Linked DNA regions of Cricetulus griseus. The protein of the gene in region 2 purifies or fractionates together with the protein of the main gene of each other region. This does not show direct contact. Links are inferred from orthologs where the notes say so. Each region holds a gene or a part of one and is shown on either strand. Other genes may lie near its edges.

The links.
Region 1: the proteins of Abl2 (region 2) and Rin1 purify together in Homo sapiens (co-immunoprecipitation; 3 studies listed by BioGRID and IntAct, counting the BioPlex papers as one, with this or other methods). This does not show direct contact. The link is inferred for Cricetulus griseus from reciprocal best matches to the Homo sapiens genes ABL2 and RIN1.

What each region holds. Positions count from the first base shown.
Region 1 is NC_048596.1:54,234,229-54,238,524, forward strand, and holds the start of Rin1 (ras and Rab interactor 1), read right to left. Parts: upstream 3,056-4,296; 5' UTR 3,053-3,055; coding exon 2,898-3,052; intron 2,751-2,897; coding exon 2,570-2,750; intron 2,471-2,569; coding exon 2,356-2,470; intron 2,268-2,355; coding exon 2,195-2,267; intron 2,105-2,194; coding exon 2,013-2,104; intron 1,881-2,012; coding exon 1,140-1,880; intron 905-1,139; coding exon 599-904; intron 302-598; coding exon 143-301; intron 45-142; coding exon 1-44. UniProt on the Homo sapiens protein: Ras effector protein, which may serve as an inhibitory modulator of neuronal plasticity in aversive memory formation. Can affect Ras signaling at different levels. First, by competing with RAF1 protein for binding to activated Ras.
Region 2 is NC_048598.1:35,227,501-35,231,309, forward strand, and holds part of Abl2 (tyrosine-protein kinase ABL2), read right to left. Parts: intron 1,049-3,809; coding exon 776-1,048; intron 1-775. UniProt on the Homo sapiens protein: Non-receptor tyrosine-protein kinase that plays an ABL1-overlapping role in key processes linked to cell growth and survival such as cytoskeleton remodeling in response to extracellular stimuli, cell motility and adhesion and receptor endocytosis.

The DNA.
Region 1 (4,296 bases), on a different chromosome or scaffold from region 2:
CAACAAGGCCAGGCTGGCCGACAGGCTGGTCAGGTAGTAGCCGCCTAGGAAACAGGGTACAGCTCAGGCTGGAGTAGGGCGTCCTGCCTTCCCTTCCTTACTTGCTCAGGACCTGCTAGCGACTAAGAAGCCTCAGTTCCACCTGGACAGGAAGTGAGGGTGCCCTCACCCTCTCCGGTGAGCAGGGTAGGTTCCAGTAGCTCCGACATGTACTCAGCTTCTAACAGAAGGTCAGGAAGGTCGCACTGAGCCAAGACAAGGCTCAGCAGAGGCAGGAACTCATCAGCGCCTGCATCCTCCCCTGTGGAAAAATGGGAAGGAAGGCGTTCCAGCCTCCTCAGAGGCCCAAAGGCTAGGGTCTAACCCCTGTTCTAGACAGTGACTCCTCCCACCACCTGCTAGACCCCCTAGACAGGACCGGACTGTCATGGCAACCACAGGGAAGAAAGACACTCCTCTCTCTAGAACCCCTGAGACGGGAGGGTTGGATCCTTCTGCCCTTTTGCAGTTCTGGGGGCCTGGGACCTTCTCCCTGAGAGAGGGGGTTCAGTCTCTACTCAGAAAGAGCTGGAGCAGGGGAAGGTGGTGAGGGTCATACCCGCCTGGGTTTTCAGGGCTGTGTAGAGCAACTTGCAGGCCTGCAGGAGCCACTTGATCTGGGCAGTAGGTGAATAGGTGCCAAGCAACTGAAGCAGTTTCTGGCGCACCTGTTCCGTCTCCACTGGGTAGGAGAGGGGCAGGTGGGACCCGAGGGCTCCAGGTCCCTGGGTCCGGGCCAGGTGGAAGCCCTCAGCTAGGCGGCCAAGGGAACCATCTGCGGAAAGACGCCGCCGCAGGCGGGCAACTAGGATAGGTCGAAGAGGCTTGAGAACAGAGCGATGCAAGGACTTCTCCAGAACCAGTTCTGCCAGAGGAGAGTAGACAGTCAGGGGGAAGGGGCCTGGAAGAGCAGGAGGCCCTGGTCAAGACAGGAGGTAGGAGAGGGGTGGGGCATGGAATTCACTGCAAAAGTAGTGGGGGGAAGTGGGGTGTAAGGAAACCAGGAGTCCATCATTAGGCACCAAGGCAAGGAGAGAGGTGGGTGAGGGAGGGTGGAGAGCCAGGAACTGAACCTGTGGAGGCCAGGGCTGGGGCCTTACCCAGCCTCTCCGGTGGTAGCAGCTTCTCAGGGCCCAGCTCTGCACTCAGCATGGCCCGGGCCCGGCTTAGGGCCTGGCGGATGCCCTGCAACTCCCGGGGCTCCGGACCAGCCCGAACCTGGGTCAGTAGGTCCTGCACTAGCTGACCCACAGCTGTGTATCGGTTCTGCATTAGCGTTGTGGCTGCCCGGCCCACCTGCCTCTCCGGTGCCAGCAGAGAGCAGAAAGCAGAACTCATGGACCGAAGCAAAGGCGGCCGCTGCCTTGGGCGGCCCAGGCGCGGGGAGGTGGTAGGGCTTCGGGGAGAACCCTCCTCCTCTGAGCTGCTGGGGGAGCAGCAGTCGGCCTCCTGAAGTGAAGGTAGGGGAGGAAGACTCTGGCCGGAAGCACTCCCTGGCACCCGATACCCCATTGAACTCTCCCTCTCCAGCAGCTGTCGAGGAGGCAATCTTGCTGTTTGGCTGGAAGAAGTCCCTGGCAGCACTGGGACTGGGGGAGGCGGCACAGCAGGTGGAGACAGAGGGCTGGAGGTCTCTGTGGACACACGCACTTTAAAACTCCTCTTGAATTTCTCTCGTTTGGTGGGGCCCAGATCCCCTGGGAAGAGGGGGTTGAAGAAGCAGAGGGCTGCACCAGTGCCCTGATCCAGCTCTTGAGGGGAGCGAGCCTTCAGCCTGGGTATCGGTGGGGCTTCACAAGGCCTCTGCTGAACCTTGGTGTTAAGGGAGGAACTCCAGAACTCTGGCAAAAAGAAACCAATGGGAGCCTCAGAGCTGGCTCTGGAGGGTGCCCACAAAGAAAGAACTTGGTTGCCCTTTCTTCCCCATTTGGTCTATGTTTCCGTCTGTACAATGGGCTGCAAGGAACGCTTACCCATGCCCAAATGGGAGATCGCCTCCAGCTCCTTGTGGGTGGTTGCCTGATGAATGGCTCTGGGGAGCCGGAGTGGGAGGAGAAGAATGTCCCTAAGGTCATAACAAGGAGCAGTCAAGAGCAAGTGGTATTCAGGTGCAGGGCGTGTGGTCATCAGGTACCCGGCAGGTAGGCAGACTCACCTGGTATGGCAGTATGCACAGATGAGCTGAACCAGGTCCTGGAATACGAGCTCTGAACCCTCCAAAGAGATGCCTGAGAGACACTGGGAGTGAGGCTGTTCTCTGGGGACCTCCCTCCCCAGCCTGTCTCCAGCCCCTTCCCGCCAGGCCAGCCCCCTCACCACCAGGGCTCTCTTGGATATAGTGGCTGGAGACAAAAGAGGGGCCACTGGCTTCTGGCAGCCGCACACACAGAGCCCGGCACTGGCGAGTGTTAGATTTCCGTACCAGGAAGGTCTGCAAGTGAATAGGATTAGGAGGCTCAATGCCTCCATGTCCAGGCCCTTTCTCTCCCACCCTTGGTGAGCCAGTCCTGGAGGAAGGGAAAAGACTCACCCCTGGAGGCTCTGTCCTCAACACGTGTAGTGCGGCTGCAGCGTTGGCCCGCAACTGTAACCACACCGGCCGGGTGATGAGCAGCCGTTCCCGCAGACTCACGGTGCGTGCTGGTTGTTGGGCCCCGCCTGCCTGTGCCCTGCTGGCGTCAGGCGTGTCATACAGAGGGTCTGGAGATGGACTGGGGGCAGACACGCAGACCTGAGCAGGGGTCTGGGCAAGCACCTCTTCCCCGTCCTGGGCTTCCCACCTATCCATCTGTCTTTGCCAGACCTTCCTGTCACTGCCCTCACCCCCTGCACCCAGTTGCCCTCCCAACTTCACTAACTTTTCTTTCTGTTGGTGCCCAGGAACAAAGTTTAGGTTGGCAGTTCCCAAAGGGTGTGCTTCTGTATCCCCAGGGTCTTCCATGGCTAGGAGCTCCTTCAGCTTCTCCTGGGACTCAGGAAGAGAATCCAACCCCCAAGGCACAGGCGGGCACATTCCTAGCGGTGAGTAACACTTCCTGAAGGCGGTTCACCCTGTCACGCCCCGCCAGTTAACTCTTGTATGTCCACTCCATGTGGCCAGTGTCCACTTCTATTCTGGGCCCAGCCTTGAATGGCAGGGGCCCCCTTTATGTTAGTGTCACTATTAGGGCCTCAGCTGTGGGAGGACCACCTCCACACAGCGTTTCCTCATATAGAACCTCACACTATGCAGCTGGGTAGGGAGGAGTTAAACAGGGCAGACCAAGTTCCCACAGGCCCAAGTCTCACCCCTGTGTCACCTCAAGAAGTCTGTGGTCACTTGCTCATCTGCTTCTGCCTTGGAGGGGGTCACCCTTGTGGGAGAGCACCCCCTACTGGTCACAGATGACTCATTCCTGAACCTAACTTGGGTTTTGTGATTTCAGGTTGCTATGGAGAAAGGATGCTGTGTCTCCATGGAAACTAAACCCTTTGCTTAACTGAGGTTCTGGGGGTGGTTCTGACACTCATGCTAACCAGGGGAGAGTGTGGCTGTGAGGTTGTCAGCACATGGTGCTGCTGCTAGCTGCCTCCCACACACAGGCCCTGCCAGCCTGCCTGCCAATCTGCCAAGTGACTGGGGCAGGTGCAGACATGACCTGGCCTCCAGGCATGCCTTCATCCAAGGCCATGTGCTTCATTTGTTTGCCTGGGCCACACCACGTGTAGACTCCAGCTCTGGGCCCAGGCTCGTTTCTAAGTCACAATGTTCTGAACAACAGGGACCCCAGAAGAGTCTGTCCCAGGTGTTCCCCATAAAGCCTTGATTCCTTTTAAGAGAACAGCAGACACACACTGGTCAAGGTCCAAGGATGAGTTTTATTCCAGTCTTTAGAATCTGGGAGGCAGACACCAGGAATGGCCCTGAGAAAGTCTGGGAAGATGCCATCTCCAGCGATAGCTAGGAGGGGCAAGACCCCAACATGTTTCTGGCTCAAGAGTTCCCCAGCTCCTGGCTCAGTGGGGAGGGCTGCTGCTGTCATATGAAGCCTATCTTTATTGGGGGGACAATAAAGGAAGTTACTCTTGGGGGGGGGGCAGGAACGGAGTCTTGCTTGGCCAGGTCAGCTTCAGGGTCACGGCTATGCAGATCCCAAGGAGAGCAGAGGAGCCCAGGCCAGTGTTGGTCAGGGGACAGCAGTAACACTGGAGGACTACCAGGCAACCCCCTGCCTTTGCAGAAAAATGTTAGTCCTGTGTGTGGTGCCAGCTGCTCCA
Region 2 (3,809 bases):
ACCTCTGGAAGAGCAGCCAATGCTCTTAACCTCTGAGCCATCTCTCCAGCCCCAATCCTATGTTTCTTAAAGAACAAAGCACATGTGCAAGGCCTCACTGCTTCCTTCACATTCAGAATATGTAAACAGGGCTGACTACTACCCATGAGAACATCTCATATGAATTACTGACAATCTATGATTTTATACCATGACACTCAAAGGGACAGTAGGATCAGGAAAAGGACTTTTATGAATTTAAAAACAAGAAGTGATCTATCTAGCAGGGTGTGGTAGTACATACCTGTAAGCTCAGCACTTGGAGGCTGAGGCAGGAGAATCATGACTTGAAGGCCAACCTGGACTACTTAGTGACCCCCTGTCATTTTCACTTTAACTAAAAAGGGTGTCTCTTAACTGCAAGGAGGCAGAAGGGAGAAACAAAAGGCAGGGGGGATAGAGACCAAAATAGGGAGCTTATTCGTAGACCGCCTGGAGCATTCTGTTCAGCGGGGGTTGTTCTCGGCAGAACTTATAATTTCCTTCTAAATCTCCACTATGATCTATACCAACAGCCTCCAGAGATGAGCCTTCCCCACACGTGGGCTGTACTGCTGAGAATAATCTGCCCCTGCACTGTCAGCAACAGCACTAGGGTTAATCACCACAATTTGTTGAAGTGTTTGGCACCAGTGGGTGGAAAGTGTTCCAAAGTTGAAGAAGGGCACAGGGATCTTTCCAAGTGATTCACACACACACAGAGACATGCCTGGGAACTTAGCACTCAGCAACCCACCTTCAGTGTTTTCACAGCAACCGTAAGGCTGTATTTCTTCCAGACGCCAACATAAACCTCTCCATACTGACCACCCCCAAGTTTGTGCTTCATGGTAATATCTGTTCGCTCCATTTCCCATTTGTCATGGATGGGGGACACACCATAGACGGTCGGTTTATTACACTTGGGTGCTGGGTAATGTAGTGTGGTCACTAGCCCATCGGCCACTGTAGAGTGGTGGTGGACAAGCTCTGCCAGGGTGCTAAAGCGGCTCTCAGCAGTCACGTACACCTGGTGAGAAAGGAGACTCAGCAACACCAGAGAAGGGGTTTACTTTTAAAAGCATACGATTCACCCACCTAGAGACATGAAGATATGAAGACATTGGTTTGTTTTCTGAGACAGGGTCTCAACTATGTAGCCCTGATTGTCCTTGAACTCAAAGAGATCCACCTGCCTCTGACTCCAGAGAGCTCAAATTAAGGGTGTGCACCACTGTGCCTGACCTGTTGTTTTGTTTTGAGACAGGGTCTCCATTATGTAGCCCTGGCCAGCCTTGAGTACCCGATGCTTCTGCTTCCACCTACAAGGCACAGGGATTACAGGTGGTGTATGCTAGTGCTGCTAGTGCTCCAGGAGGTTACTGCAATTAAGGCAAAGTAAGTGTCAATGCTCAGGGCAAGGGAGATAGCTTAATCTCAATGTAAGCATCCTTCCTCTTCTTTCTAAACTAGCCTTGAAGGAGAACATACAACACAGCTGCACAGACATCAGGGAACCTAGTCCTCAGAATATTTCTAAGCAGCAAGCCTACAGAATGTCTAATTCAGCACTCAGAAGACTCTGGAGATAGGGCTTCTCAATGTAGCTCTGGCTGTCCTGGAACTTGCTCTGTAGACCAGGTTGGCCTTGAACTCAGAGACCTGCCTGCCTCTGCCTCCCAAGTGCTGGGATTAAAAGCATGTGCCACCACTGTCAGGCTGGCTTTATCTTCTAAGGGAGTATGATTTGTTTGTTTTTAATTAACTATTAATTTACATCCCTCTATATAATCCAGTCTGGTCTCAAACTTGTGATTTTCTTGCTTCAGCTTCATGAGTGCTGGGATTAGGGTATGTGCCATCATGTTTAAACAAACAATAAACCACTGTTCAAAACAAACAAAAAGTTGTTTTATTGTACATAAAAATTTACATAATTCGTAAATAGAGACTTAGTGGTCTTTCACAAAATAAACTCCAGTAAACATCACCCATATACCAAGAGCACTGTGACATCACTAGCACCCCGCTAGCTGTTCACTCCTGCAAAGGTTTCCATTATGTACAATTCCAGCATGTGGGACTAGCTCTGTCTGAATTGCATGCATAGGAAATTACACAGTATGTGTTAATAGTGCCTGCTTTCTATTCTCTTTGTTAAACTATTATTCACATGCTATAAAATTCAGTATTTTATAGATTACCAACCCATCGCTTCCAGTACATTTACAAGGCTTGCTGATCAACCACCACTATTCAACTCCATGGAAATACTTTTATCATTCACCACAGAAAACCCATAGCAATGAGCGATCCTCTCCACACAATCCTCTGGCAAATAGTACTCTGTCAATCAGCTTTATGTGTATGAAATTCATCTATGACAGAGGCCAGAAAAATTCTCTGTAAAGGGATGGAAAACAGGTATACTGGCCTTGTGGCAATATAGGGTCTCTGAAGCAACTACTCAGATCTGCTTAGAAATAGAAAGTAGCTTCAGATACTACAGAAACAAATAACACGATGATATGGTAGCTAGTAGGCCACAGCTTCCTATGGACTTGTGTACAGAACATCATGTTAATTTCCGTTTCTGTAGGATATTCTATTTTAACACTATACCATAATTTATTAATCAATTACACTGCTTAGGACTTCTAGTTTGGTGTTATCATAAACACAGTGGCTGTGAATCAATGTTCTTGCATGAATCTGGCACATATGTGTAATCATTTCTGAAGGCCTGGCTGATCTGCATCTGGGGGTCCAATCAGTAAGCTTCTCTCTGCTCCCTTTCTGGTAGCTATGAGATGAACAGCCGCTGGAAACAGACTGAACTTTTTGAAACATGAGTCAAAATAAATGTTTGCTAACTGTTTCTCTCTGGTATTTGTCACAGAGACAAACAAAAGCAAACAACTAATAACTGCTGGATCTCTTGTTACATTACAAACTGATTCCATTCACTTGGGCCACAGACTAAATACACTATGCTTGTATAATGGTACAGAAAGAGAAAGAAAACTGGTATCAGCTATTAAACTTTACAAAAATTGCTTCACTTAATCCTTAAAATAATTCTACAAAATAGGGTTTAACAACAGACAAGGAGAAGACATAAGTGACAGCTTAGTGGTCAAAGTGCACACTACTCTTGAAGAGGATTGGAGTTTAGTCTCCAGCACCCATGCCTCTTCTGAAGGTCTCTGCTGGCCTGGACGGGCGTTGCACCCACATGCACAAACTCATCCACACTCGGACATACGACACATTATGTGTCATTAAAAAAATTCAAAAGTAAATGAAATTGAAAAAGTAATAGTAGACAGAGGAAAGCAGGTGTGGTGCACACCCACAATCCCAGCACTCTGAAGACAGAGGCAGGATGGCTGCTACAAGCTCAAATTCAGCATGGTCTACATGGCAAATTCTAGTCCATGTGGTGGTACACGGAGAGACCCTGTCTAAATCACTATCACCACAACACCAGGCAAACTGAGACTTAGATAAAGTCACAAAGTTAATAAATAATGCACTTACAGGGCAAAGCAGTCTTGTTTGCTCAAGGCCCACGCTTCTCTGCTATGTGTATGTCACATAGAGGGAGAAAGGGGGTTCAACCTAATTCAATAGAACAACGAAAGTTCAGGCCACAAAACTGATGTAAGTTCAGGCCTTATAATTTATGTTCCATTTTTGTTTTAAAGTTTAATTACTATTACTTTATTATTGCATGTGTATGAGTGTTTTGTCTATGTTTGTGCACCACATGTATACCTGGTGCCCATTGA